4 linked regions of the Astyanax mexicanus genome follow. The protein of the gene in region 1 interacts with the protein of each later gene in a pairwise test. Links are inferred from orthologs where the notes say so. Each region holds a gene or a part of one and is shown on either strand. Other genes may lie near its edges. The genes, in order: ccndbp1, mrpl15, c5h22orf23 and syf2.

The links.
Region 2: the proteins of ccndbp1 (region 1) and mrpl15 interact in binary tests that used the Homo sapiens proteins (3 or more experiments, as listed by UniProt). The two-hybrid records come from large-scale screens. The link is inferred for Astyanax mexicanus from reciprocal best matches to the Homo sapiens genes CCNDBP1 and MRPL15.
Region 3: the proteins of ccndbp1 (region 1) and c5h22orf23 interact in binary tests that used the Homo sapiens proteins (3 or more experiments, as listed by UniProt). The two-hybrid records come from large-scale screens. The link is inferred for Astyanax mexicanus from reciprocal best matches to the Homo sapiens genes CCNDBP1 and C22orf23.
Region 4: the proteins of ccndbp1 (region 1) and syf2 interact in binary tests that used the Homo sapiens proteins (3 or more experiments, as listed by UniProt). The link is inferred for Astyanax mexicanus from reciprocal best matches to the Homo sapiens genes CCNDBP1 and SYF2.

What each region holds. Positions count from the first base shown.
Region 1 is NC_064412.1:55,153,630-55,161,692, reverse strand, and holds the start of ccndbp1 (cyclin-D1-binding protein 1 homolog), read left to right. Parts: upstream 1-4,650; 5' UTR 4,651-4,716; coding exon 4,717-4,822; intron 4,823-5,720; coding exon 5,721-5,780; intron 5,781-5,881; coding exon 5,882-5,961; intron 5,962-6,363; coding exon 6,364-6,445; intron 6,446-6,900; coding exon 6,901-6,997; intron 6,998-7,187; coding exon 7,188-7,261; intron 7,262-7,434; coding exon 7,435-7,511; intron 7,512-7,624; coding exon 7,625-7,884; intron 7,885-8,063. UniProt on the Homo sapiens protein: May negatively regulate cell cycle progression. May act at least in part via inhibition of the cyclin-D1/CDK4 complex, thereby preventing phosphorylation of RB1 and blocking E2F-dependent transcription.
Region 2 is NC_064415.1:35,333,622-35,341,351, reverse strand, and holds the start of mrpl15 (39S ribosomal protein L15, mitochondrial), read right to left. Parts: upstream 3,176-7,730; 5' UTR 3,081-3,175; coding exon 2,976-3,080; intron 885-2,975; coding exon 727-884; intron 625-726; coding exon 459-624; intron 1-458. Other genes in the region: lypla1 (acyl-protein thioesterase 1), read left to right, coding at 6,945-7,013.
Region 3 is NC_064412.1:31,270,983-31,278,620, forward strand, and holds the start of c5h22orf23 (UPF0193 protein EVG1), read left to right. Parts: upstream 1-4,071; 5' UTR 4,072-4,153; exon of another isoform or gene 4,154-4,269; 5' UTR 4,270-4,308; coding exon 4,309-4,405; intron 4,406-4,984; coding exon 4,985-5,047; intron 5,048-6,011; coding exon 6,012-6,191; intron 6,192-6,688; coding exon 6,689-6,820; intron 6,821-7,069; coding exon 7,070-7,170; intron 7,171-7,638. Other genes in the region: ppp1r12c (protein phosphatase 1 regulatory subunit 12C), read left to right, coding at 668-718, 1,267-1,353.
Region 4 is NC_064414.1:4,250,339-4,257,979, reverse strand, and holds the start of syf2 (pre-mRNA-splicing factor syf2), read right to left. Parts: upstream 3,458-7,641; 5' UTR 3,368-3,457; coding exon 3,350-3,367; intron 2,118-3,349; coding exon 2,019-2,117; intron 812-2,018; coding exon 686-811; intron 1-685. UniProt on the Homo sapiens protein: Involved in pre-mRNA splicing as component of the spliceosome.

The sequences.
Region 1 (8,063 bases):
ATTTAAGTTAGGAAAAGAATACACCACAAACATAAGCCACATAGGTAGAGAATGCTCCATCTACTGATAAACCATAAAACAGAAAGGCTGGTTACAGGTTAGTAGGGTTATGGTTATGTGTGCAGACAGACGGTACATACCAGACAGATACGTCTGTACCAGAATAAGTGAAAAGTGCTTAAAAAGGGCATGCTGCATATGTTTTTGCCTGATTATTCTAATTCAGCACAGGAGCATGAAATTATTTTAGTGAATATTTTATTCAGAGTGAAAAAAGTACATCAGTGCAGTAAATGTGTAAAAGATAGGTGATTGTAGAATAAAGTCTCCTGTCTGGTAGGTCCAGTCACAGGTTAATCAGTATTCCTGATTAAAATTCATGAAGACAAAAGTAAACTCCATGCAAGATTATTGCAAAATTCAATCAGGAGATAGATTAAAAAATGTCCAAGTCACTGAACACCCTCAGGAGTAGGAACACAGTACAATATAGTAGACGTGACCATGCAAGAGGTCAATATTAACTTTATTCTTCTTAAACAATTCTTTGGTTGAACAACTTTTGTGGCTTTTGTGGCCCATTGTCATGCTGCATGATCCACGTTCTCTTGAGATTCAGCTCATGGATAGATGTCTTGACATTGCACTTTCAGAATTTGCCATAATTTGCTATAATATATAATATAATTCTGGATTTGTCCTTCCATCAGTGATGACAATTGTGCTCTCTCGGGGCTCCGGCAGCTGATGGCAAGTTCCAGGACCAGGATTTGAACCAGTACAATCTCCTGATCGTACTGTCACTGCCTTAGTCTGCTAAATCACGCAGAGCCCCCATGTTTATTAGTGGTGATTTACACATAAAATACTAACATTTTGGCCTTTGGTTCCTTAAAAAATGTATGGTGCAGGGAATACAGAGCTAAAACTACAGAACGTGTGTAATGTTTGTCTATTCAAAAGGTTCTGCACAGTATACTGTCTGTTCCACCTGATAAACGACCCATTGATAAAAACTAAAGTCACTAAAACAGAGTACAGAGAGATCCAGAGATAACAGCACTGGTTATTGTAGAGTTTTATGGTCATAGAAATCAGTTAAATGCCTGATTTTTGCATAATCCTGTCATGAAGTTTAGATCTTGTTTTTAAATGCAATATTGAAAAAGGTTAAAATCTAAAACTTTAAAATGTAACATCTCAAAACAGCTGAAAAACAATCATTTAGCAACTTTGAATGAGTTTGTTTTTGAAAACATTACAAACCCTTGGGGACATCTTATCACCACCACTGATTAGGAACGCTGTAGAAGAGCACATGCACACGCTGTAGAAGAGCACATTCCTATTAATTTTTAAAAGCCTGATGGACTTTCCTGTAGGAATTATTAATTCGGTTAAAATGGTGTAGTTCACCCTAGCCCTAATAACCTTTACCACACATTTCAAAGGTTTGCTGATGCAAAATACTCATGTTTACCCATTAAGAAAAGAGGACATTGATTATTACCTCATTAATTACTCGCTATAGTAGTGCTTTAACCAGCAGAGTTCACAACAGATCATTATAGATTAGCTAAACGTGCAACCTGCCAACAGATTAGCTTGAATGAGGCATAAACAAAACACACAAGTAAAACTTAAAACAAGAAAAAGATTATTGTACAAATGAGTCTGTTATCTTATTTATTGAATTATTATTTAGTTCATTGTTTAGTTATTTCTATTTCTATTGTAAGTTATTTTATTTTTTTATTTGAATAAACAAGTCAAAGTCAAAGTCAAAGTCAAAGTGGTTTTTATTGTCATTTCAGCTATATACAGAGTACACAGTGAAACGAAACAACGTTCCTCCAAGGACCATGGTGCACATAAACACAGTGTAGACAGAACAATAGTGCAACAGTACAAAAGTGCAGACAGACAATACAACACAATACAGACAAAGAATAATAAATAACAAGACAGTGTGCAAATTTTGCAGTGTGCAAAAAAGACCAGGTGAGGTAGTAATAAGTCTATATAAGCAAAATTTAGTTTTTTAATATATAAAAGTTTTCTATTTTTAAAAAAATAGATATAGTGTAGTATAAAGGAAAGAAGGAAGGAAGGGCTCTAATATTCTATATAGAATACATTCATATGCTCAGAAACTATATTGCCCATTGACGTCCATTCACAGCTTTGTAGAGACAAGGGCTTTAAACATTGACAGCATCAGACCTGATAACCTCTTTCACAGGGTTGTTATTGTCACGTAGAGCTCAAACCATTGAGCCTGGGGGTTGTTTATCTATATAGAGGTTATTTGTCTAAAAGAACTTTGAGAGCTCGGTTTTAAAAAATAGATCCGGTGGGAGGAACAAATGGCCAATTTGCAAATCACATCATAAACTTCTTGGTTTAAACAATTACTTAGTTCTGCTCTATCGGCTGAGCAACAGCCATCTTTGCACAGACAACCAAGGCTACATAATACAGATAAAATCTGTTATCTTTTACCTCAGTGTTCCATTATTTGTCCACAAACAGTCTGTGTGGATTTAAGCCTTTGTTCTGGCATAAGTAGCATTATGAAACTTTTTTCCCTTTTTCTTACTGATTAAAATCTTAAAAAATAAAATAAAATGAAGATACAACACAGAATTGCCTGCATTTGACCATGATATCAGCTACTTGTTTATACAATGTTTATAAACATTTCAATAATTCTCACACATTTGTGACAAACTGAACATCTTCTGCCCATCTTTGCTCCTCAAAGATTTGTATGCCTTCTGCTTTTGTACCAAATTAGTGTATTCTATTTTCACGCCTTGCCCCTGTGCCATTTAAATAGCAAGTCAGGTAGAATTGAGGTGGGTTTAGGTATATTTCTTAGATATGGAAAACACAGGTGCGCCACTGACTGAGTTGAACCCTGACAACAGTCAACTAACTGTCAGACGTTCATTGCTATCTTGGCATTGCAGGGACGTTGCGCATACACACAACACACGCAGTAGTGCACAAACCCAAATTTTACCTAAAAAAAACTAAACATTGCTGTTCCCGTAAATTACCTGAGCACCTTCACAGAATGAACAAGCAGATCAGCTTCATCTGCTGAGAAGTTCAGAAGCCCTACGCCATTAAAATAGTTATCCACCAAAGACAGAGCACACCTGGCTCTTAAAGGGAATGGAAGTGACATGGTGAATGGATTATTTCACGTTACACCCAAAACACACACCTGAATAATTAAGAAAATTAGCACATGCCTTTTGGCATACTTTTCCTGTTGTTACGATAGCAAAGACACACTGCACAGTTCTGGTGGAGCAAGTGAGCAATGTTTATTGGACATTAGATAATGGTGTTATCTACCATTATGTAAAGTCTCCTTTTACAGAACTGTTAAACATGGGGAAAGAATCGTTATTAGTCATTTTCAATCCAAAAATGAGCTGATAATCCCTTATCTCAGTTATCTGGAACTGGATGTTGAGGTCTGTGTTAAGGTTGGTACAGTACTGTGTTGTGTGTTCTGTAGTGTAAGTCTTGGTATTATTCTTCTTGTCACGCAGTCTCTTTGTGGTGTTGTTGACAGAGTGAATGGGAGGGGGCTGTCGGAAGGTTCAGTCTGTTCCAGGGGGTGTGACAAAGTTCGCTGTTACAATGTGTTTGAACTGAAGACTGGTGAAACATCTTTGACCATTGTTTGAGCCCCTGGACTCTGGTTTACTGGCTTACTTCTCCTACATTGATTAAATTGATTTAATGTATTATATATCTCTATTTATGAGTAAATGGTGCAGTACAATACTACTGGAACATTACAGGTGCCAGTGGCTTTAATGCAGAAAATGAATGCATCTAAACCAGATATTTTCCAGGGACATTTAGAATTTTTTTTCAAGACATTGAGAAAGCATGGCTGCAAAAGAAGAAGTTTTATATAAATTTACTCATGTTCAATGATTTTGAAGCTTTCTGTGATGAGGGAGACATGTCTGTTCAGGATCTTGATTTGTGTTCACCTAACAAAATGGATAATTTATTTAAAAACTGTCACGTTCTTTAAAACGTACATTAATTGTACAGTACCAGTGAAAAGTTTGAGCACTTTTCTCATTCCAAGCAAGTGTCTACTTTAAAGAATCTAAAACATAAAACATATTTTGTTTTGTTTTTCTTTAGTATTAATATACAATGCAGAATTTTTAAATAATGAAATACCACTACAAGTAAGATGTGTCCAAACTTTTTTTATTATGTATAATGTATAATGAATTATGTAATATTATGGGCTGTAAACATTCACGGAATCTGAGAAGAATTATATAGAGCTTAAAAGTTTTGTATTTAATGGCTTAATTCTAAATTTTAATCTTTTTTATGTTTTGGGATTTTTTAGTTGGTGAAATGTGCTGTACATAATACAAATCCAAAATAATTTTCAGATAAACAAAAAATAGGATTCATACATTTTCAAATTTATAAATAAATTATATATATTATATATTATTCACATATATTATTGCAGGTGATTCACATAACTTATGGCCTACATTTTTATATATGTTAAGTTATTCTGCAATAATTTTTAATATATAATTTTAAATACATACAGGAGTAGGCAGTATTCAAATACATACAGGAGCCCCTCATGAACACATTCCGACGGAAACTAACCGGAAGTAGCCAGTGTTTTAGTTCCGCCTGTAGTTTACCTGCATGGATTCAGCTGCAGTTATGAGCGCTGAAAACTCGTGTGGAGATTCTTTACTGCCGCTACGGAACTTATTAAACGCAGTAAAATGTATTAGAGATCGGGTAAGAGGTAAGAGCGGCGGAGTTTCCGTTAATATATCTGATTACTGGTGTGCTAAAAGTAATGTAAACAGCCCTGGGAAACAGCTAGCTTAGCGTAGCTAACGCTAGCTAACTATCCCTTCAGCTGTCAGAAATAACTTACCCTAACGCAGCTTGGTTAGCCAGTTTAGCTAAATTAGCTAACGCTAAAGTTGTCAAGTTAGTGTAAATTAATCGTGTTGGTAGAAGAGACTGTATAACGGCCAAACCATTAAAGTTAACTATAACTAACCTAGCTATACTGGATATTTAAACGTGTTATCTTAAGACTGTTAGTTAGCTAGCTAGCTAGCTAAGTTAGCACTAGCCATCTGGGAATAACACTCTGTATCTAGCTACGTAGCTAACTGGCTATGTTTACTGAGTTGGGCTGGTATCACAGCATGTTTTGACATGATAAGGACTTAGAAGCACTGGGAAAGTCACAGTATGTGACAGCGATAGTGGAATAAGTAACGTTACACAAACCATTCAGTAGCAATACTCTTAGTAATTGACAAACTTAAGTAATTTATAGAAACAATTGCCTCTACATTACTTCATATCATTCACCACTGTTTTAAGTAACTTAACTTGTTCCTCACATTTCTGAATTCCAAATATTATCATTCTTGTCTATTCATCCAGTCTATTCAATACTGCCTTTCCATGTGTCTTTACTGTTCTTAGAGTCCTAACTAGACAAAATCCTTGACTAAACAGTATAGCAAGCAACAGATTTTGTTAAAATGTGAAATCTTAGTATTTGGGATTGAAACAAATGCACTTGCTATCAATTCACTGATTAATGTGTTGTTAGTACTGTGTATCACTGATGTAGTGCTATTAGATGTTAGCTAATAGTTCTTTTGTTGTTTTGTTTTCAGATGGAGAATCAAATGAGTCTAACGGGGACTTTAACTTACCAAACTTCTGGGAAACGATGAGTTGAGTGTCCTCATGTTCACATTTACTAAAAATATATTTTGGTTTGTGGCTTGTCTAAGGAATAATCCAACTGAAATATGTGTTTTTCTCTACTCCACAGCTCAGACAGTAAAGGCTACTTCACAAGAAGCTACAAAACTCAGTCTAGCCTTCTCCAAACCCCCACTTCCATCAGAGCAAGTACGTCAGGCTATTGCCACCATGTGCTATAGGGGTGGCAAATTTTTAGATTCTTATATGCATCTTGATTTAGATGTGGATGATTCTGAATCTATTCACAAATGCAAAAAACAAAATAGATTCAGATCAATACATACATAAAATATACACTGTAAGCACGGATAAGTTGAATTTACTTCAAAAAAATTGAGGAAACCGGTTGCCTTAAAAAAGTTAAGTAATGGGCAATAAAAACTTAGGTTAGCATAACTTAGAACATCCCAGTCAAACATCCCAGTCAAACTCAGTTACATTAAAATATTATTATTTAAAAAGCATCAAAACTGCCCTGTGATATTAAAATACAGTAAAAACCCTCTATTATATATTTTGAATAACAATGACTCTCTGGTCTCATTCAAGGATTGTGAAGTGTTAGCAGAGTCCATTCAGAAGAGCATTCTGGCGTTATCTACAATTTATTACTGGCTGCCTAAGAGTGAAGGTAAGTTGCTCATTCTAATCACTAATTTTCCTGTCTAACTAAACACAACATTCTACATAGATTTCAAGGCAAACATGATAAAATCAGATATTTAAGTTATGTTTTATTATTGCCTGTTAACCAAGAAATCGTGGCATTTTAACTGTGTGATTTGTATTCAAGACACATACCGGTACCTTAGAGGAATAATTGAGTAAGTGAATAATTCAGTATTACCTGTGACCTCTAGCAGTGGGTTTTCTCTAGGCTTTGAATTCTAACTACAAAATAGAAATTCAACACTTAACTCAATAATCAACTCAAGACCTTTCCTAAACAGCAAATGCAATATTTTTGTTAAACCCTTTGAATCAAAGCTTTAAACCCTTAAATCCATTGAGGTTACACTTAGACACAAAACTGCAGAAATTGCATCATGGTCCAAATATGTATATATGGAATTTGGTTTTATACAGGCATTACTCTGCGTAAGCTTGTCAGAGAAGCCACTGTGGAAGTTTTGGATGGTGTTGTTCAGCTGCTGGAGATCCTCCTGTCTTCTCCTTTACAGAGGTATTTAAAATGGTCTAATTTCAAGGCAATACATCTTATTGTTCATCTCTGATAATAATTGTTGTTGTATTACATTACATTACATTTAGATAATGATCTTAATGAATCCTACTTAGAATTTTCACCGTATTTAATTTACATAATAAAATAACTTGATATATTTACTTATTTGCTTATTTGTTTGTTCTAGTTTATCTCAGGAACAGCTAACATCTACAGGAGGTGTCTGGGCAGCATGTGATCAGTTTGCTCAGCTGCCAAGGGGTAAGTTGGGCTACGTTAATGGCTTTTATTAATGCCTTGAAAATAAATTTAAACACTGTTTTTTTACCTTCAGGTGTTTGCTTTCTGAACAATTGTGTGTATGACCTTTAATTTCATTAAATTCTTAACTTAGAAATCTGTATGTAGAATTTCCTTGTCCGTTTTCCCAACAGATAATCGCACTGCAGTGTTACATGTATTGAGTTCATATGTTGGAATGGTGAAGGATGCGCTAGAGGAGATGAACCAGGTGGGTAGCCAATTTCTGGTAGAGCATTCGTGCAAAGTGCAGAGTCCTGTAGACTCTAAATCTAATAACTATACGTCTAAAAACTATTCCCATCCTTTGTGTTCTTCCTGTAGGCACTATCTGAGGAACAGGACCCTTTCAATGATGTCCTGGATGATGATGAAGATGACCTTGATGCCCGTGGAAACCAAGACACCTACTGGTCCCAGAGTGACCGGCAGCTCATTTCTAAATGTCTGGGTCTCATTAAGGCTTCTGGAGCATGTCTGCGGAAATTATCCAGCGCTGTTAATAAAAATGGAAAAGTCGACACACCTCACAGCGTTACTCAACTAGACGACCTCGCTGATATCACGAGAGAAATCAGCCCAGGGTACGTTTTTTTTTAAAAACATGAATTATCTATTGTGGGATTACTTCTTTTTGGGTACCACTTTAAAATAAGACTCCTTTATAAAGGGTTTATAAATAGTTTATAAAGAAGTTTATTAATGGTTATAAATTAAGTTGTAAATACTTTAAAGCATTAATAAGCACTCACAACACACACAT
Region 2 (7,730 bases), on another chromosome or scaffold:
TTCAGAGCCTAAAAACAATATTTCCAGAATGAGTGATTTTTGTTTTATAACAGACTGAACCCAGAAGTACCTGAATAGTAGTAGCTGAGAAATATAATAAAACCTGGTCATAAACCACACCAAAATCAAGAAAACCCAAATCAATGTATATTTTGAACCACATACACTCTATGGACAAAAGTTTTGATACACCTGCTTACTATTTGCTTGTTTTAATATCAGTGTTATTATTAGCTCATCTCAAATATACTGGATGGAGAACCATTATACCAGAGATTTCATACACAAGTAGATTTATAATAAATGATTCTAGAGAGGCTTATTCTCTTGCCAATATTTCTTTACAGTGTGTAGACAAGTTGTGTTGTCTAAACAAATGATACTAACAAATGAACAAACCATCATCTGGTGAAATGATGATTTCCTGAAAGTAAAATATACTGTGAATGTGAACATACCTCATCTACAAGCTGAACACCGTAGTCTCGTTTGAGAGGCTGGATTGTGATCCCTCTACTATTAACCAGCTGGGTGAGGTCTATAGGCTGAGACGGGTCTATCCGGCCTAAATCTATCAAATACTGCAACCTCCGCAGAGACAGTGGAGGGTACTGTTGCCGCAGGCTAAAGAAAAAACACACCGAGAAAAATATAATAATGGTTAAGATAGTGTAAATTTCTTTTATTAAGGAAAAACAGGTAAAACCGCAAATGTTTTTATTTTACCTGTGTCCCTCATTGTAGCCATATTTAGGAATGATCAGGTAAAATGGGGTCTGTCCCCCTTCAAAGCCCAGACGTGGACGGTTCCCACGCTGTCGTTCACCTTTGTGTCCTCGTCCACTCTTATTCCCACCATGCATACCACGACCCCGGCGCTTCTCCTGTTAACACACATGGTAGATATATGAGCCACGGCCACAGACATGGTGAATCTATCATCTGCAATGCTTCAGTATGTAAGAAAACAGACAGAACAGGATGGCACAAATTTGATATGGGTTGGTTTCAATAGGATTATTCTATTCTGTCAATTATGCTATGCCAGGATAATAGTTGCTTACTAAATATAGTAATGGAAACAATATATTTAAGGCATTTTTTTTTTATTTACTTGAAAGAAACAAAAACTATAAAATCACAAATGCAAATATTAAACATTACATGTATGTTTAAACAATGTTGCCTACCAGCGTTTAAGCTTTTATAAATGGATATTTAAATGTAAATAAAAGAATCAGTGTTAGATTGGACAAATTTAATTATATTCATGTTAGTACGTATTGTATTAATATTGTAATAATTTGAGTTACTGAGTTTAACTGAGAGCTTTAATGGAGAAAATATCAGCCAGTGTAGCATCATAGTGTGTGTCTATGTTTTTGTGTGTGTGTATGTGTGTGTTAGGAATCTGAATCAGAATCTTTTCCACTCGATTCCAATCCTTTGAAAATTACGAGATCGGCCAAGATTTCCAATCACATAATCGGATCGGGACATCCCTAAAATAAACACAATCATGACCACGATTATAACATATTATTAAGGTCATGTCCATGTATTGTATGATAAGTTAATAATGTAATTATTGTGACAGGCGTAGTGTTTATTTGAGTTCTTGATATAGTCTCTCTGATTAATCAAACATTCACTGCTTGATATTTCCACTAGTGGTTTTGGTTTTAATGTAGAAGTAAATAAAAAAAATGCAATAGATTTATTTTAATGCATTAAGTTTACACTATTATATTTATTAAGAAATTATTATCCTAGTCCAATATAAGATTTTCACAAACACATTTTTGTGATAAAATGGTATGTTTTGATCGTTTCAATAATAATAAAAAATAAATATATATATAAAAATAAGCTAAAAAAAAAAAAAAAAAGAAACCAAAACAACTTGCATGGGTTCTTTTTTTTCTTCACTGCCAAAGTATCGGTAGATACTTAAACTCACTCAGAGGGAAAAATTGTGATTGAAATATTCCTAATATTGAGTTGTCGTACAATAAATGGACATGACCTCAATAACGTGATATTGTCTAATGTGTTTATTTGTATGTTTGTTCACTATACATCTCTGGAAAAAAATTAAGAGACGATTTCAGTTTCTGAATTAGTTTCTCTGATTTTGCTCAAACAAAATAAAAAATATTGTCATTCAGAGCATTTATTTGCAGAAAATGAGAAATGGAGTTTCTACAGTTTTCATGCATCTTGGCATGTTCTCCTCCACCAGTCTTACACACTGCTTTTGGATAACTTTATGCCACTACTGGTGCAAAAATTCAAGCAGTTCAGCTTGGTTTGATGGCTTGTGATCATCCATCTTCCTCTTGGTTATAATATTCCAGAGTGTTTCAATTTGGTAAAATCCAGAGCTGCATAACAGCAAGAAAGTATATATTCCCCAAACTATGATAAATTAAAATTAAGTTGACTTTAAAGGGGTATAATCGCTTTGTTATGCTATTCTATTCTCAGTATTGCAGTGGTATTTAATATTCTTAAAATGACAATAATATGGTTTATACCAATAATTTCTGGGAAGGCATATCGTCTACAAAAAAAATCTTATCATGACAGGCCTAAAAATCACAAATGCGTTTCAGGTGAAATGTACAGTGAAAAACTAGTTTTCCCAACTGGATTACCAGTACAGAGCTCTTTTACTGCATGACCAGCTTCTCAGCCACCTTGACCATTAAAGACCAGGTTTGGCCTCTAATCATCTAAAGGTTGCCAGATTTCAGCAGGGATGAAGAGAATATCAGTATGGAAAGAATACTGTAACACTGTAGATATATCTAAACCTGGACCTACAGCTAATAAACAGAATATCTGTACAACACTGAGCTGGACTGGCTGAGATGCTAACTTAGAAGCTAATATAATGTCAGCTAGCCTAGTTAGCTTAGCTTAGCTTAGCTAGCTAACATTACAGAGAGCTCCAGCACAACACCAGCACTTACATTCTTCCTCGCTCCAGGATTGGGTCTAAGATTGGCTAGTGTTATCCGCGGTAAACTCTTCACTATATCCAGAGTTTTTCCTCCTCCAGTCCTGGATACAGACATTTTTCTGACCCACTCACACACTCTCACACAGTCTCACACACACATCTATGCACCCGTCAACTTTCAAGGGCGAGTGTCATGGCGGAGAAGCACGTGGTTCAGCCCGAGAGGAGAAATCCCACTTCTGGGTCTGTTTGTTTGGTAGATGGACCACTAGAGGGCGCGCTCAAATGAGTCCAAAACGAATGGGATTAAAATGATTAACTGAACAAATCAGAGATTTAAAAATGTTGAATACATTGTATAATGTAAATTGGACTCGTTTCCTGAAATTAAAACATTATAACATGTTTCAGTACCAAATACAGAATTTGGAAAGCTTTTCAACTCTGGTTAGGAGAAGACAGCAACACTGGTAACTAACTTTTTTATTTATGAAGATCTGTTGGGCAAACTCCCATCATATTGGTGTAGTCGCCTCTCAACTACAAGGTTATGGAAGTAAAACAGTCTAACTAGCGTTTTAAATGTAATCGAATTTGAATTTATTACACTCTGAGACTTCCATACAAGGTGCAGAACCTCTTTCTCCTGTTTTGCACCATGGTCTTGGAATAACCTTCAAAACAAATTGGCTTCCTTGAGTGGGTTTAAACTTTGGTAAAGAATTATGTGATGGAAACATGCAATTTCTACTCATAAGTGCATTCTGTTTTGTACTGTTTTTCTTTGTGGTTATATTAAAGTTTTTTTTATTTATTTAAACACGTTGTTTTAACTTTCTTTACCTGTAAATGGTGTGCTGTCTTGCCCAGGTCTCCCTCAAAAAAAAGAGATTTTAATCTGATGGGACCTCTTGGTTAAATAAAGGTTAAATAAATAATTAAATAAACTCTAGCTCCAGCAATCCTCGCTGCAAAACCCTTTTATTGTATAAAAAGGGCAAACACGTGTAGGTGTCTTTGGATATTTTAGCTAAATACTTTATTAAACTTTAATAAAAGGAATACATTTCCTACACAAACAGGTAGTTAGTTTTTTTAATTCGTATTTTTAGCCGTTTAGCACCATTGACCCACATTCATTCAGGACTCAGTCGATTGCTCCCTCTAGCGTTTTTCACTCATATCATCTCCATAAACCAGTTCTCCTTTAGCGCCAATAAAAAAACATTTAAGCAGAAAAGCTGTAAAACTATAAAAAGTACAAATATATGTATATGCATATATTTATTACGCCACCGTGTAATTAAAATATAAATAACGTTACATGGAGTCGGTCAAAAGAATCAGTGATTGTTGCCAGCTGTCTATGAATACGAATTGCTGAGTGCTGTTTGAAAAATTACAAATGGGTGAATATTTTTTACCCGGTAATTTCTGGCAAAATACATGATTTATGCGTTTTTTGCAAAAGATTTATGAGCCATTATAAAAAAGAAATTATCCTCATGGAGATGCCGGGGATTGAACCCGGGGCCTCATACATGCAAAGCATGCGCTCTACCACTGAGCTACATCCCCATATAGACTTAGAGCGCGGATTCTCGCCTCTTTAACATGAGACACCCGTTTATTTTGCTTTCTTCAATTCTGTTTAGAATTTAAACACAAACTTTATATAATCCTGGTCAACACAACATTTTAAATGCATTTTTTTATTTAAATGAAATTGGTCCATGAATCTTAACACGGCTTCTAATGAGTGTATTTTACAGGGCTCTTAATGCTGACACTTTTTCATTCGTGTTAGCTAGGTTAGTTTAACTAATGTAAACTAACGTTACAATATATCAAGTCTGATAATCATCACAAGAGAGTGGTAATAGAAACTGCATGTAATTACAGGATTTATACTCTGTTGAGATATTCATTAGCATAACAATAAAAGCTGAAAAAGAAATAAGATCAAATGTTACAACTACAAATACAACATTTTGTTTTCACTTTTTGCAAAATACTAAGCAATTATTGTCTACAAAATCAAGATGCTATTGTAAATGCATTCAAGTGCCTTTTACTTATGTATATTTATTGTTTTTCACTGTACAAAAATTAACACACATTTTTTATGTTTAGGACAATTCATTAAAATGCTTTGGTTTTGAAAAGATATATATATATTTTGTTTTGTTTTATTTGTATCTTTATTTAACGAAGTACATTGTACAAAAGGGATTGTATCGGTCATTTTGATCATAAGTGGAACACAGTTCAAGAGTATAAATTGCTCTTTAAATAAGTTATATAGTTAGATTGCAAGATTAAGATTAAAAACAAAGAATATAGGAGTTATTTATTTGTAATGTCTATATAATTTTGCTATTCACATTTTAATACATAAAAAAATCTGAATAAAAATAACTATTTTCTGAAACTATTTTCTTAACAATAAATATATTCCTTTAAGAGATTATCAATGGTTTCATCACATTGCTGACAAAATAAGGAGTCTGAGTTAGTTCTAGAGATAAAACTCATTGATTTATGCTTTTTTTCTACAGTTCTGTTCCAATTATTACAATAATAAAAAAATCTTATTTAAATGTTTTATGATCCAGCTGTGTTGATCTGATGTCTAGATTTAAAATATATTTAATTGTAAAATATGAATTATGAAATTTTTATATTGTCATTTGTGTTACATCAGGATTTTAGCTTTAAAGTATTTACAGCCATGTGCCCACGATAAGAAAAAAAAAACATGAATGATATTGTGGCGTGGAAGAGGAAGGAAGACCCGTGAGACTCATGCTGAATGCTCAACAGCTCCTTTATTGAACAGGCTTACCACTCACTTACAGTTTTTAACAAGACTAGGAGAGCTAAGACCATTCCCCCACAGAGCTCAAACAGCCCAAAGGCCACCAACCCAGCTGTGTGTCTCCCAGATGGCAGATCCAGAGTGGTGCCCACCCTCTCTGCATAACCCCTCCCAAGGGAGATGCCCCACCCCTGTCATCCTCGCACACAGGAGAACAGAAACATGCCTACAGGCAGCCACACACACACAACCCAGAGCCGCCACAATATCCTCACTGAACAGAAATCAGCCAGAAATGTGTATGGGTTCAGAGTTAACAGAGACTTCCACTGTTTAATTTGAAAAAAAAAAAAAAAAAAAAAATCTAATGTTCTAAACCTCTTTCCAGTGTCAGTGTTGTCAGTTTGCTATTCCACAAGCTTAAACAAGCTGCAACATATTCTTTAAATTTATCTATGGAGGACAGATGTTACTTTATTGTTTATAAAACTCGCTAATAAAAAGCCACTGATCAATAAATTAAGTGGAAGAGTCTAAAGAAGCTGGAGAATAAGATGTTCCCTGTGGGTTTCACTGAAATAATGTTAGCAGGTTAATTGTTTGACACCATCCTCCAATGCTGCACTACTGTAGCTAAATTCCTCAACACCGCAGGCAAACACGTGCAGCTCATGAGCCAATCAGGACGAACGCATGGAAAATAACTGCAAATGCACCAATCAGGACACGGTTCGATAAAACTGAGGGGCAGGGGGCGGGACTTCCTGTGTAAATGTTCGTGTGGTGGGTGGTTCGGGTGCTGCAGTAGAGCTGATCCAGGGTCAGTTATCTGTAGCGCTGGTTAACTGTGAGCTGAGATACGGGCTGATCTGAGACCCGCGGGCTGTGTAGGAGCAGGACACGAGCGGAGGGTCACGGTGCGGCTCTCTAGCGTGTTTTCAGCTCCGCGGACACGGAGAGACGGTCAGTCCGGACACGCAGCGCTAGATAACCGCCGGACTCGTTTATATTTACACTGATTTAATTATATAATAGAAACACAGTTCGCGGGTGTTTCTACAGCTCGGTCTCGTGCTGTCAGGCTGGAGGCTGGGGTCGGCGGCCCGCGGGCTGAGTCGGGGTGTGATTTCTCGTGTTGAATGTAACGCTCCGGTCCGGTGTATGTGCGGTAATAACATGTCAGCGCCGCTGCCCGCGATAGTCCCAGCAGCCCGGAAAGCCACTGCGGCGGTAAGTCAGCGTAAAGGAACCCGGCTGTGTATTTATAACACCTGTCCTCAGGGCCCTAAACACACTAGAGCTACTGTGACTCTAGTACACTTGTGTCAGGTGCTCATTCATTCTTCTTCATGTTTATTCGGTATGTGAGGAGCTGTAGTAGACTGACACTCTAAAAACACCTGGGTCTAAAAATATTTGGGTCTCAAAACATGTAAAACATCTGGATCATAAAAAAAGATTTGGGTCTAAAAACATCTAGCGTTAGGTCTAAAAACATTTTGGTTCTAAAAACATCTGGATCTAAAAATGTATGTGTCTAAGAATAATTGGGTCCAAAAACATCTGTGTTTAAAAACATGTTGGTTTAAAAATATTTGGGACTAAAACATCTGGGTCTCAAAAGATGTAAAACATCAGGATCTTAAAAAGATTTGTGTCTAAAAATAAGTGGGTCTAAAAACATTTGGGTCTAAAAATATTTTTGTCTTAAAATAATTGGGTCTAAAAATATTTGGGTCTAAAAACATTTGTGTTTAAAAAAAATCTGGGTCTAAAAATATTTGTGTTTAAAAATATTTGGGTCTAAAACCATCTAGTGTTAAGTCTAAAAACATTTGGCATATCTGTGTATATAAACGTGGATCTAAAAACATCTGGGACAAAAAACACCTGTGTCTAAAAACGTGTGTCTAAAAGTAGTTGGGTCTGAAAACATTTGGGTCTAAA
Region 3 (7,638 bases), about 24 Mb from region 1:
AAATAACATGACAGTGGCTGAGGTAATAGACAGATTGACACTTTATTTTCAGATCCACAGACTGAAATTGGTCTTGCATAAAAATAGCAGCTCCGTTAGGACACAGTGCATTACCAGCACAACACAGACCAAAAAAAACATAAATATTTAATTTGCATTATAACACCCTTGATCATTTTGGATTAGGCTCCATGTTCAGTTTAAGGATTGACTGATGTATAAAGGCCTGCTTCAGTCTTACATAATTAAAACATGGAACACAGCATTTTGAAGTGTCCAGACTTTACAGATGTGGACAAGCAGCTGTACCACACAGCATTACAGTACTGCAGAACACTCAGAATAACAGCAGTAAAAAACAGTAGGAGTAACTGCTCCATCTGCTGGAGTTGCTCCAAAAGATTAGAAAATCCGGGCTGTCCAAGTAAGTTAATTATGTTAGCAAAACAGTGTCACCTTAGTATTTTAGAACATATTTTAAAGTTAAGCAGTAATCGCCTGTGTATAGAGTGAAAAGTAAAGCAGAACTCACACAGTCCTGAGGTGCACCGACATTAATTGATATGGCAAAAGAAAGTGTTTGTTCACATTATGCTCATGCTCAGGTTGTTAACTAGAGTAATACAGGTCTGAATCATGCTTGATCATGTCTTTTTGTGTGCCACAGGAGAAGAAAGCACTTCAGAGGAAAGCATCAGAGCTCGAGGATGAGCTGAAGGTAATCTGTGTTTAGAAATCTAATTATCTTCACACCCAGCTGTTCTTTATAGCTGTGCTTAAAGTGATGGTCTGATCAGATCTATTAGCTGACATATGGTTTCTGTTTTTTATCAATAGCCGCACAACACATATCACAAGGCAGGTGTCGAAATTCAGTGTATTATTATGTGAAATACACAGACATGCCAAAAGAAATGGGACAGGAGCTAGTATTGTGTCATAGGGAAGCTAAAGATTAAAAAATTAGAACTTCCCATCCATCAAGCACTTACTATTAGCCCTCACTCCAACTGCAATAATTCATTTTACTTTGTCTTGAGCACACTGGACAGTGTTCAGCCTTAGTCACAAGATAACACCTTAAAACAGATGTGAGCATTCTCAAGCCACTGAGAATGCCCTTGAGTTAACACTTTATAATCAATTTAAGCACAGATTACACAATACTATTCTACAGTCCCGCCCTTTAAAGCTTAATCCATAGCAGGCCATAGCACATGTCTCACTCCTCCTCCTTCTCCTCACTCTTTCTCTCCTTCTCCACAGATTCTTGTCGATCTGCGCGCTGACAACCAGAGGCTGAAAGACGAGAATGCTGCGCTCATTCGCGTCATCAGCAAGCTGTCAAGATGAGCCCCTGTATCCCTGTGTGCCACCATTGCCCTGAAACCACTAGGTGGCACCACTGTCCCTCTCTGCCCATCTCTGCCCAGAATAAACTGGAACAATGCATTTCTCTTTTCTGCACAGCCATAACACACAGCACCTGTGCGTGTATGTGTGTGTATGCGTGCGTGCGTGCGTGTGCGTGTGTGGGTATGTGTGTGTATGCGTGCGTGCGTGCTTGTGTGGATCTGGTCAGGAGTCTGACCTTTATAAACTGCTGTTGCACATTTTATCGGTGAAGCCCAAACAACAAAAGCTAGATTCAGCATAACCAGGGTTCAACGAGCTTCACCTCATTGTGCACAATTGTTAGGACATTTGAAACTCCTTAGGGTGTAGTTTTCTCAAGTCTAGGACCTGCAAAGCTGCAGTTCTAGTAGAACAGTTCTAGATCTTTCCGTGCTTTGTGCGAATTCTAGCTGCATGTAGTTTAGCGAACTTTAACTCTTGACCCAGCTCTGCTGTACTTCTCAAACCTCAAGCTAGCACAGGATCATAGACGTCAAGTCTAGTTGGGCTAATTTTAAGGAGTGAAGTACATACTTGAAGTACGGCGGTATGTAGAGGAACTTGCAGGGTGCTTTTTTTTGTTTTGTTTAGTTTTTTGTTCTGTATATTTAAATCAGATTAATTCTTTTTCGTGCACTGTGCTTGGTTTATTATTATTATTATTATTTTTAACTTTAACCTTGTAGTTTAACACAAAACTAAGCCAGTACAAGGTTAACAATTTCCTCTTTTTTTTACTTTGCTTGTAAGCCAGCTGTGGGTTATTTGCTGTTTAATAGCTAGTTTTTGCTCTGACAGTGCAGAGAAAGCACATCATCCCATCAGGTGTTTTTAAGCTTTGAGGGCTTGACCTAAAGAAGTGCTTGTATTGTTAGATACCACAGAAGAAGAAAAAAAACGTGCCAAAACCTGAACCTCCATCCACTCCTGTGCATCCAGCTTGCTGGTTGGCGGCACGCCGGGACGAACGAGGGATGTTTTTTCCTCTGTGTCTGTCTCTCTCTCTCTCTCTTTTTCTTTTCCTTTCTCTCAGGACAAGCCTAGATCAACACTGTACTCGAGCAGACTGCTACTGTATGTTGGACCAAACAGGCATTTGCATTATTGCTGTTTTTCCTGTTTTTCAGTGAGCGAGTATTTATGAGTGTAAGTGTATTACATGGCCTGTGCCAATGGTGGTGTTTAATTTTTTTTTTTAAGAAGATGAACAGGAACGTTTATACTGTGAGTCCTGCTCTCAAAGGAACAGGCACTTTATAAGGTCAAAGCTTTTGAAAGTTTACCACCTTTTTTTTTCCGCTTCCGATATTATTGATTGTTTTTCATTTGTAAGCCAATGCATGCCAAAATTGTATTTTGACAAAAATATGTGCCTTTCTACATATCTATTTTAATATTTCTATGTTGCTTGGTTGAAAAGTACTGGGCTGGCTGGCCCAATAGCGCTATAACAAGACTCTTCTAACACTCCACCATCCTACAACCCCCTCCCCCAACTGGCTCTGCCATCGTTCTGTGAATGGACATTTTTGAGACAACCAATAAAATCTCAGTAAATAAAACAGTTCAGTACCAGAGCTTTGCCCAGACTCCTCTTTTAATTCATCTCATTCTTTCTTTATCTGGTCATGGTTGTGGTGAACTCATACAGAGCCAAATCAGGAACAAAAGTTGTGGTAATTTGAAAACAATAATGAATACAGAACGTTCAGGTCTTAAAGCTTGAATGTTGATACGATAGCTACAATAATATATTTAAAATAAAAAGACGTGTAGGATGTTTTTAGCTTTCATATAATTTTGATTAAACTTGTTTAAAATATTTTTTTGTTTTTACTTTCTATTTTGTTTTAATGGTTGAGGTCTTATTTTTTCTGGTTATTTACTTTTTTACAGTTTCTTGTTTTTTTTTCCACTTTCAGACTTTTGTCCTTGAATATTGATAACAATATACAAAATGCACAAAATTCCAACATTTAGAAAGAAAATGTTTTTTTCATGAGAAAACCTTTATCCTTGCTGCAAAACATTATATTTACAGAGTAACAGTCATGAAGAATATTCTTAAGTTCTTTATTTTTTTCGCTGTATAACAATATATATAGTTTCTTTGATTTTACCAAGTTGAAAACCTCTGGAATATAATCAAGAGGAAGATGGATGATCACAATTCATCAAACCAAGCTGAACTGCTCGAATTTTTGCACCAGAAGTGGCATAAAGTTATCCAAAAGCAGTGTGTAAGACTGGTGGAGGAGAACATGCTGAGATGCAGGAAAACTGTGCTTAAAAAACAGGCTTATTCTATTCTATTTTTCAGGGTTTTTTTTTTACTATTTCCATTTTTATTTTTTTTCATATTCTGTTTATATTTTTTACTTTCAGTCTTTTGGGCTCGATTAATGACAACACAGCTAAATACAATCTAGCAGTGATTTGCTAATACAGTTAAAAAAATTACATAAAATAAAAAAAAAACTAAAATAAGAAAACTTTTATTCCTGCTGCAAAACATTATGTTCACAAAGTAACAATCATGAAGAACATTGTTAAATTCTTATTTTTTCCCTGAAGAAATATATATATATATTAAAGTTAAAATATATATATATATTACTGGGGAGAAAAAAGTAGCGCACTCTGCTGGTGAGGAGTGAGATTACAGCGCGCTGTTTTCTGGTAACCCATGGCAACATCGACCCTTCGCAGACTGAGCCGAACTGGATGTTGTGCTAAAACAGCGCGTGAATCAGCAGCTGTAAACTACCAGCTACCTAAACAACCAGCTAACATTTTTTTATAACATTTAAATACTGTAATTAGATTATATATAGACAGAGAGAGTCCGGGGTTTAATTGAATCAGTTTTTAAAGGTTTGAGGTTTTGAGCTGCGGGCCTCACTCACTCTGAGGATGGACGGAGGGTCTGCGGCGGAGTCCAGCAGCAGCGGGGGTCTGTGGAACTGTCCCAGAGTGAAATACAGCAACGACACCAGAGAACTCCTACAGTGTGAGTAAATACAGCCAGATACAGCGCTGGAAAAAATTAAGACACATGAACATTGTTGTTTTATTCTATAAACTACGGACAACATTTCTCCCAAATTCCAAATGATAATAATAATTATAATAATAGTTTTGTCATTTAGAGCATTCATTTGCAACAAAAAATGAGAAATGGCTAAAATAACAAAAAAAAAAAAATGCAGAACTTTCAGTTTTTAAATAAAGCAAAGAAAACAAGTTTACATTCCTAAAGTTTTATGAGTTCCGAAATCAATATTAATATTATTCAACAGGGTAGAATAACCCTGGTTTTTAATTACAGGTTTCCTGCATCTTGGCATGTTCTCCTCCACCAGTCTTACACACTGGTTTTGGATAACTTTATGCCACTCCTGGTGGAAAAAATTAAGCAGTTCAGCTTGGATTGATGGCTTTGATTATATTTCAATTTGGTAAAATTAAAGAAACAATATTTAAGCGGTCTCATTCCATTGTTTTTTCATTCATTATAAAATGTCTAGTTGTGGTCTCCAGTGTGAATGAATGCATTTATTACTTATAATTTTTGTTTTCTGATCCACAGTAATGATGCGAGAATCAAGACTCACCAGTTTCCAGCAGCGTCAGCTCAACAACCAGCTCAAGAGTAAGATTATTCAAGTGAATAATGTTCGGAAATTTCACTCATATTTAAAAAAATATGAGTGCTATTCGGAAGAAGGATATAGGTTACAAGGAACAATGAATGCTAAAATATTTTGACTGATATGTGCAATATTCCATGTGTGCCGTTTTTTGTGAAAAAAAAAAGTGCTCAGGTGTTTCTATTTAGCCCTGTTTTATTTAACTGAATTAGTGGTCTCTGAAGAAAGACAGGTTTTGGCTCTTGCACAAGAATATTCATTCATGCAAATATATCAACTCTGATTGGCTAACAGCGCTGCAGCTGCCTACCTGCCTTCCCCCCACAGTCAATTTTACAGCTCTAAAACTCAAACAACAAAATGTTTCAGAGATACAGCTTTAGTTATAAAGGTATTGCACTTAGTGCTAGGTAAAGTTAACCCTTAAGTTTCACTTAACGTCAGACTCGAGTGGCTACACAACCGAGAAAAGTTATCAACTCCCTGAGCCGAGCCCGCCCCTGCGACTCTTCTTCCACGGCCGCATGGATACCTCCCTTCTTGATAACGTTTCTTTCAGCTAAACTAATGCTACTACACTCTTGCCTTACAGCCAATCTCAGAAAACTAGAATATATGAACAATTGGTACTTTTGGCAGTGTTGACAGTGTGCCAAGTCCTGCTGCAAATGGATATTCGCATCTTGATAAAAGTTGTCAGTAGGGTTGCCAACCGTCCCGTGAAATACGGAATCGTCCCGTATTTTGGCAGTAAAATACGCATTCTATATTCTGATTGGCTCAACGAGAGTACATCATAATATACAGCCGATGGATTGGCAAGCGTAAGAAGTACCATGTGTGGCGTGTGAGCGTGTGAACTCGCTGAGGTGCGTGTGACACACGCTCAAAGCGTGAGACTTGAGAACACTGTCTGTAATGCTGAATTTTGTTTGTTGTGTGTGTGTGTGTGTGTGTGTGTACCAGAAGGGGGAGCCTTACCGCTGCGCTGTAACCCCACCTCCTCTGCCCCACCACTGCAGGCTCAGCCTCAGCCCAGTCTCAGTAAGGGTCGCGCTCTGTCAGTCAGGCCGCAGAGACGCAGTGCTGAGCAGTGCAGTGCTGGAGACAACTACACCCGAGAGAGATTCCAACCCAGTGCAGCACGTCTGTATCCCACATTCCTGACTGTTACAGCTTTCATAACTAGACTCTCTTTACACAGAATCGAGTATCGAGTAATCGATAATTAGTAACAGTACCACATTACACAAAGTGCTGGGGACAGAAGCGCAATGGGAGATTGATAAATAGCTTGCTCGCACAGTTTACACTCAACTTAGTCTGTGTCTCCAAATGTGCCCAAACTCAACAGATTACCTATTTAATCATTTCCATATTTTAACAACATCTAGACATTTAAATGCATTTTAAATCTCTTTCATATATACATTGTTACATTTACACATTAAAGATTTATTCTTGGTGTGTTATTTTCTGCATCTGCCAATCTGTGGTGATTTGTACCACATCAGTTTACTTGCTAAATTTAGTCCCTGTACCAGGTTTCTGCTCAAAGACCTTTAAACTTTAACAGTACATTTGTTAACGATAACACCTGATAAGCAGTGATATAACACTACTCCCAATCTTCTGGCTAATAGGAGATCTTGAGAAGGAGAAGCGCAGACTGCAGAATATCTTCGCAACAGGTCAGGAGGAGCCACAGCTCTCTGTCCCACAAACACAGCCTCCCAAGAGAGCAGAGGAGACTCACACAGACAGGTTCCAGGAGGGTGAGATGAATTCTAAAATCCTTAAACGTACCATTTAATTATAATAGATTTTTTTTTTCGAGAATTATTGTTGTTGAATATTATTGTAATCAATTACAATAATTCAGTCAATAATTCATGAGAGTAACCAAAATTATTGCTGACGGCAAAGCCCGCTGATATGTTGCTATATAGTACGTTCAACCTGCAGTTTGCAATTTATTAGCTTACACTTTATGCAGACAAAACATTCTATCCATTTTCTCTCAGTTCTGGATGAGATTGAAGAGAGGAGGCAGTTCCTGGAGGAAATGACTGCTCTTGGAAGGGGGCGCGACTACAATCACATCATTAACTTTGAGATTTCTCAGGTAAAAACACAGCAGAGACACCATACATCAGTGCTTATTTTAGTAAAAAGTTTAAATTGAAACATTACATACAAACTTGCTAAATGCAAAACGTACATCGTTCAGTACTGTGATCTATATTTCCACATAAAATATGGAAACACTCTGTATAAGAGAAGGTCTTTTAGACAGGATATTGGGGGTGAACGTTCTTCCTGACCTGTGCGTATGTTAAAAATAGTAAAAAAACAGCAGCACTTGTTGACTGGAGAATTTGTTGTGGTCATACCAGCAAAACCATCTTTTCAACACAACCTCTCTATAAGCATCGAATCTATCTCTCTCACCGACAAAGGTTGCTAGGAACCTGGGTGTTATGGTTGATGACCAGCTCTCCTTCACGCACCATGTGGCCTCAGTTGCTCGGTCCTGCCGCTTCGCGCTTTATAACATCAGGAAAATTAGACCGTTTCTGACGCAACAGGCCAC
Region 4 (7,641 bases), on another chromosome or scaffold:
TGAAGAAATCCAAGTATGTTCTCACCAAACTAGTCTGAATCCTTATTAACAGGGATGCACTGATTTTATTTCTCTGAAGATCTCTGAACTCATTATTTGCCCAATCAGAAGTCCCCTGTCGCAAAACGCTACATTTACATCTTATTTTAACTCAAATGTACAACACAAGTCAAATGTCTGAGGTATGTTTATGTTTACGCCTGCAGTGGGTGTACCAAGTAGGGGTGGGCGATATGGCCCTAAAATAATATCACGATATTTCATGGTATTTTTGCAATACTGATACTCTTGGCAATACTGTTTTCCAAATATCTCTACATATCCAGAATTAATGTAAAATAAATGATACTGGACATAAATAATCTGTATCTAGTAGATATATAAAAGGAAATGAGAACAGTGTATTGCTTTTGCTAAAACAGTAAAATAAAATGTGAAATGATGTGATAATTAGGGTTGGGTGATATGGCACAATATTTCAGGATATAACATTGTTCACCATATTCAAAAATGTCAGCGATATTATGGCGTACAATACAATATGGTACATACCTAGTACCAAGCACAGAATACTTGGTACACCATTAAATAAATACAACTATTTTTCAAGCATACTTGCCATAAGGAAACCTTTAACTGTAAAAAGGTTTGGAACGATTTTGGCAAACAGTCTTCATAAACCTACCTTCTTCTTCTGGTCCACCATGAGCTCATACTCGAGTCTGGCCTTCTTTGACTCCCAGTTTGAGGGAAGCTTCAGCCTCTTGTCTTCCTCCACTACCTCCTGGTGATTCAGCTTACGAGCCTCATTCTATTTCAGGAAGACACATAAACACACATAATAACAATTAAAAACATGTCAAAAAATATATATATTCTCACTTTGTAAAACACAACATTTGTTTAATGTCTCTATCTGCTAATATGCAATCTAAATGGATGAAACCCAAGACCCAGACTGCACTTTCATGCTGTGAATCTCCATGTTCCCCCACATTCAAAAGGTGTCTAGAATGTACAGTTAATAGAAGATAAAGCAGGAGTATGCGACCCATTTCCTGCTAAAAAGACACACTGGTCCATGTTGGCATGATTTTGTCTCACAATTACTGCTGATTGTTCCAAAGCAATTTTACGCTCCGAATCACTGGATCTACCACATCTATTAGATGCAGTTTTGGTGAGTAAAAAGATCAATAAAAAAACTCTGAACTTATTGTCATGTTCATAAAACCAACTGAAATGACATTTACTTTGGTGTGCGGCGCATTATCATAGTTGAAGCAGACTTTACAAGGTGGTTAAATTGTGGTTGTGAGAAGATGCACATGATTAACTGAGGATTTATTGGTACAAACAGGCGCAAAAGAGGTCAAACACATGCCCCACACCACTGCACCACCTCCACCAGCCTGGGCTGCTGGATTCATGCTGTTGAGCCAAATGCTGACCCGATCCCTATTCTGCTCCAAGCTTAGTTTAGCCATATAATTACCAACACTTTTTATTGTTGATGATTATGATAACAACTAATGAAAAAAAAAAAAAAACTTAAATTAATGTCTCAGAAAACTAGAATTTTATACAAGACCAATTGGTACTTTTGACAGTGTGGGCAGTGTGCCAAGTCCTGCTGGAAAATGAAATCTGCATCTCCATAAACATTGTCAGCAGAAAGAAGCATGAAGTGCTGTAAGATTTTGTGGAAAAACAAAACGACACTGACTTTGGACTTGATAATAAAACACAGTGGATCAACACCAGCATATGACAAGATTGTGTTTCATACCCAGGTTTGGCAAGCTGCAACTGCTCAGGTCAGTGGGCCCCTAATCAGAATTTTGCTTTAGGGCCCCAGGCACCCTGGGAATTATGGACTAGCTCTAGTGTGCTCACTAGTGTGTATGCTTGTGTTCACTGGATAGGTGGGTTTAAAGCGGAGGCCAAATCCCATCTGTGCCCAGCACACACAGTAAATATAAGTCTTGTATTGACTATAATGGCGATGAAATGCTTACCCTTTTAAAATGAAGCTCTCTGAACTTTCTCAGCCTTTCCTCTCTCTTCTGGGATGCCGCAGTCTCAACTGGCTCACCATCAATGACTGGCGTGGACACCTTTAAGAAAGAATTAATGAGACTGATGAATTAGAGTCTGTGGCAGACGCACAATACATATGAGCTGGTGCTTATATATAAAAAAAAAAAAAAAAAACTGTTATATCACTGCATATCAATACTCTTATAACACAGCTCCGATGCTCTGTTTCACATAAAAGGTTTCTACAACATCACTGCAAAAACATTATAAAGTTCATTTCAATGGCTAAACACAGCAGGCAAAATGGATTTATATAAATCAAATTCAAAACTTTTTAAAAGATACGTGTGCATGCAATAGCTATATTGGTTACAGTTATAGTTATTTTTTAAAGGGTACTAAACCCCCTATTTTTTGCTGAATCCACCCTCAGCTCAAATTTGAAAAAGGGGTAGTTTGGATGGGGCACTGGGTGATGTATGTGTTTAGAGGCAGGGCAGGAGAGAGAGCTGATTGGCTGAGCTGGAGCAGCAGCAATTCACTTTCCGTTTTCATACAAAAGATAATCCTTGGATTGGTGTTTTGATGTAATATTTAATCTTCTTTATGGGCATTAATGTACAGAAAATCAAGCTTTATTACTATCTGGCAATTACATAATTATCTCATTCATACGCATTAATAAGTTGTGACCAAGCATTAGGATCTCGTTTCCACGCCTTAATAAGTCGTGACCATACACCGTGTTTTTTTTTTGTTTAAACATTTCACTTAAAGAGCTCTGTAGAAACACAATAAATGTAACGTTAATGTTAAAAATGACTAAAACCGCTCTGTCCAATGTTGCTTTAGTTAACTAGCTAGCTAGAAACTTACTACTAACTAACTACTACTAAGTTAACTAAGTTACTTAACGTTACTATTTTCCTAAACTAGGTTTTCCAAGGCTAAAGGCCCGGTGGGAACGTTAAAGTAAAGAAATATTAGTTAAATGAACAGTGGGAAGTTTAAAACAACACGTTAAGTAACCTTAAATAAAACGTTCGGATATAAGTTCGTTTTAATTTAAACATTGTATAACAGTTACGAGTCTGAGTTTAACTCATATCTTACGTTCACTAGCTAAGCTAAGCTAAGCTAGCTGTTAGCGGTCTGTCCGTTATCCAGGAAAACACGCTTTTAACCTTTAAAACGACTTCTCTCACCGTTAATCAGCTCTACACCAGGTTAAGAACACACAGATGAAGTAAAATAGCTATAAAACACTATAAATCACCGCGTTCTAATGATTTTATTAGGATGTTTTTACCTCTGTGCCAGACGCCATGATCACAACACTCGTAAGCAGAGAGCTCGGTCCGCCGCACAGAGCGCCGTGGAGAAACCTGCCCGAGGAAACTACAGTTCCTACCAGCAGCAGCAGCAGGTAACGTGGCTCTCCAAACCATCACTGATTGTGATGATTAACATAGTATTCATATACATTTAATCTACAAGCGTATAAATGTAATAAATACATAAATAGTAATTAAGGTAGTACTTCAATATTTTTATTTTCACAAATTCAGCATGTAACAAAATAGTTTAAATAGTACAAAAAAGTACATTTAATTATACAAATCCCTTCCATTATTTATGAATATTACATAATGTAGTGCATAAAGTAGTAGTTTTATATTCTTACATATAGAATTATTTATTCATAATTTGTAATCAAACTTACACTCATCTGAGTACAAGGCTGATGTTTCTAATAAAGTGGCAGTGTTTACATTCACTGGCCACTTTATTAGAAACCTCTACCTCTACCTTAATCAAACTTGTGTATATTTATATGTATTTTTGTATATATATATATATATATATATATATATATATATATATATATATATATATATTTTTTTTTTTATTATTCATTTAATAATACATTACATACAAAGTAAAATCCACAGTGTTAAAATCACAGTGTAAATATGTTCTAAATCTCTGGGAGTTTTTCTAAAAGCCCTCAGTGATAAACTGTGTGTGTGTGTGTGTGTGTGTGTGTGTGTTATACGTGTAAGTAGTTAAATGGGATTTAGTTGTGGTGGTTCTACATACAGCTTAGATAGGTTAAAGAAGTAATTTATTCTGTGGTATAGCTCACATTTTATAATGCTTCATAGATACTAGAGGTGTATAATTTTGGGTGAAGTTTAGAAAAAATACATAATTAAATTTAACGAACTTAAACAAAAATAATAACAATTTGAGAGTTGTTTTATTCTGTGGGGTAAAATGTGTTAACACTGATAATAATTAAATATGTTAAAAATATGACTCGGCGTTGAATGTATGACATGACGGTTTTGAATTAACTAAAAAAATTGACTCTTGTGGTGGTTATTTTAACACTATAATGAGTGGGACCATATGTTATCTAGGACAGTGTTAAATTCAACTCTTAAATAGTCGATTTTGCTGTGTACATGTCTGGTTATACCTACACAATAAGCTAGATTTTAAAAAGTTCATAATTAATGTTTCTAAAATAACACTACAATCACTTCCAGAAGATCTGATCCCACACCCACGTGATGAAGCATGATGAACGCTGGATTTGACAGTATATTAACTTCAGTTAATGGCTAAGCGGAAAGGATGAACCCAGTCATGAACTTCAAAAGTGAGGCCCTCGTCTTCGCTCCGGTGCTTTGCTAGCGCTAGCATGCAGTCCTGTTCTAACACGGCCGCTTTTCCTGCAGGATTATTGTTGTTATAATTAAGAGCGCTGTTTTGGAGGATGTAATTAAGTAGAGTTTACAGCATTAGATTAAAGCAATCTCCAGATCAGAGGCACTGCTAATGGACTGATGCACTCTGACTGTACGCCAGATGGAAGCGTCACTGCTGTAGCACGACAACACAAAGCTGAACACAGCGGATCCAGACCCCCATCAGCTCAGGCTTTTGCATCACTGTACACAAGGAAAGAGTGAGGTAGATACAGTACATTTAATCCACCCACTTGACTTGACTTGATTTTGTACGTGATACCAGAGGGGTCAACTCTATTGCCAAAAGCATTCGCTAGTTTATTTTTTAAGAGCGTACAATTTTAAGTACAGTATTTATAGAGTGCAAGCTAAACAATCAGTATAACTTACAAGACCAGGCAGGTATGAGATAAGCACGGATTTAATTAATAAAGACTATCCACAACTGTAGTAAAACAGAAAGCAAACACGAAAGGCAGATAACATACTAAGAATGGCGAGACATTCGGGGCCGATAAAGAGTAGGCAGTATTCAAAAATCATAGTGGATAACACACACCAAAAAAATGGATCAAACATGGAATAAACAATACACGGGCAAGACAAATGATTTGTATAGTCAGACAGAACCAGATCTAGTACTTGGCAGGGAGTAAGTGAAGTGCAGGGGTCCATATAGAGAGGTGAACAGGTGAAATCGATACTCAGGTGATTGAGTATAAGGGAGTTAAGGGGCGATGTCCAAAGCTGAGAGATCACTGGTAGACAAAGGTATAGGAGGAAAAGGTGTGCCTTTGGTGCCAGTGTGTGACAGCTCTCTATTTCACTTTTTTTTGTCATTTTTTTTCTACATTATGAAGTTCCATTTACTTGCTAGTGGCTGAAGCCAAAGATTCTCCGAAGATTTTCTAATAAAGTGCCCAGTGATTGGAAACACATGCCACGTGTTTCTAATAAAGTGGCCAGTGAGGAAACACAAGGTAGGACTTTCTCGTAAACCTAAACTCAATATTATTCATAATTTGAAGTGCTGTCATTGCTGTGTTCAGGGAAGGCAGATGGAGATTTGCTATGGGAGTAAATGTGGTATGTTTACATACTTTTGTATTGTGTATTTTTTGTTACATAATAAAAGTGGAGTAAAGTTAACACTACTGGGAAGAACATGTGCGAACAGATACTGTATGTTGAAGGCCTCAGATCTATTGGTAATGGAAGTGGGGTTAATCTGGGTGGAGGTAATCGAGCCAATCTCAGTAGCAGTTCATTTTGTTAAATGGGCGTGAACGAAAGCATGAAAGGGTGCTACACGGAGGCTGTACGAGTGGTGAACAGCAGTGTGCGTCTGCTGGTGGATTTCCCTGCTGCTGGGGCGTGCGTTGGCACCGGCTGGCTCCTGGCGCTGCAGCTAGCGGAGTCCGGGGGTCGTGTTTGATTTGGCCAGGCATTAATAAGGCCTCGCTCATTGGCTGCGGAAATTACAGAAATAGTAATTAAGGAAATGGAATGATTTTATTGGCGGCGATGTTTGTGCGCTAGCAGATGTTGGGCAGCTGTACGAGCTACTTCCTGAGTGCACTATAATGCTGGGTGGCAGGAAAATCACAATGGAAATATGTCTAAAAGGATTAGCATAAATGCTAACCAGCACATTACTTTGCTTTTTTTTTTTTACAGTACTGGCATCCTTTATGGAAGGTCTAGTAGTAGTCTAGTATGGATATTATGCAAACACTGTACATGCAGTATGGGGGCAATTTATGTTTTGTGTGTGTGTGTGTGTGTGTGTGTGTGGCCTCAGTCTTTCTGGATGAAAGAGAACCGTAATTCAATTACCCCAAAGAGTGTTGTATGGAAAACAGAGATACAGTTTTAGACATAGACTATACATCAAAGTACATGGCAGATGTTTCTAATAAAGTGGCCAGTGACTGGAAGTATAACACCTACCTAGTGTTTACACTCACTGGCCACTTTATTAGAAACACCTACCTCCATATGCTTCCACTCATTGGCCAGTTTTTTTAGAAACCTCTACCTTGTTTTTTTTTTTCTCACTGGCCACTTTATTAGAAATATCTACTTTATTTTGTACACTTTTAATAAATATCCTGAACTTGTTTTTCCAAAAACTGTCCGCTTTTTTGAAACCTTGTAACTTTATTTAAAAAAACACCTTCCTTGTTTTTTCTACGCACTGGCCAGTTTATTAGAAATACACATATAATATTAATACACATAGATACTGGCCATTAGAAACACCTACCCTGGTTTGTCTACTCACTGGCCACTTTACTGGAAACACCATCCTTGTGCATTCTCTCTGGCCACTTTATTAGAAACACCTATGTCCTTATGTTTCCACTCATTGTCCAGTTTTTAGAAACCTCTACCATGTTATTTTCACTTACTGGCCACTTTATTAGAAACACCTTCAGTTACTAGCCACTTTATTAGAAATATCTACTTTATTTTATACACTCAATGGCCACTTTATTAGAAACACCTACCATGTGATTCCTCCTTGACCACTTTTATCTGAAAAAAAACGGTCCTCTTTTTAAATCCCCTTCCCTGTAATTCCACTCACTGGCCACTTTATTAGAAACACCTACCTTGGTTTGTCTACTCACTAGCCACTTTACTGGAAACACCATCCTTGTGCTTTCTCTCTGGCCACTTTATTAGAAACAACTACAGTATCATATATGCAGTTCCTCTCACTGACCACTCCTTTAAAATGTCTTTCTTATACTTCCACGCTGTCCACTTTGTTGTAGACGCCGAGTCTGTGCTTCCTCACTGGCCACTTTACTGGAAACACCATCCTTGTGCTTTCTCTCTG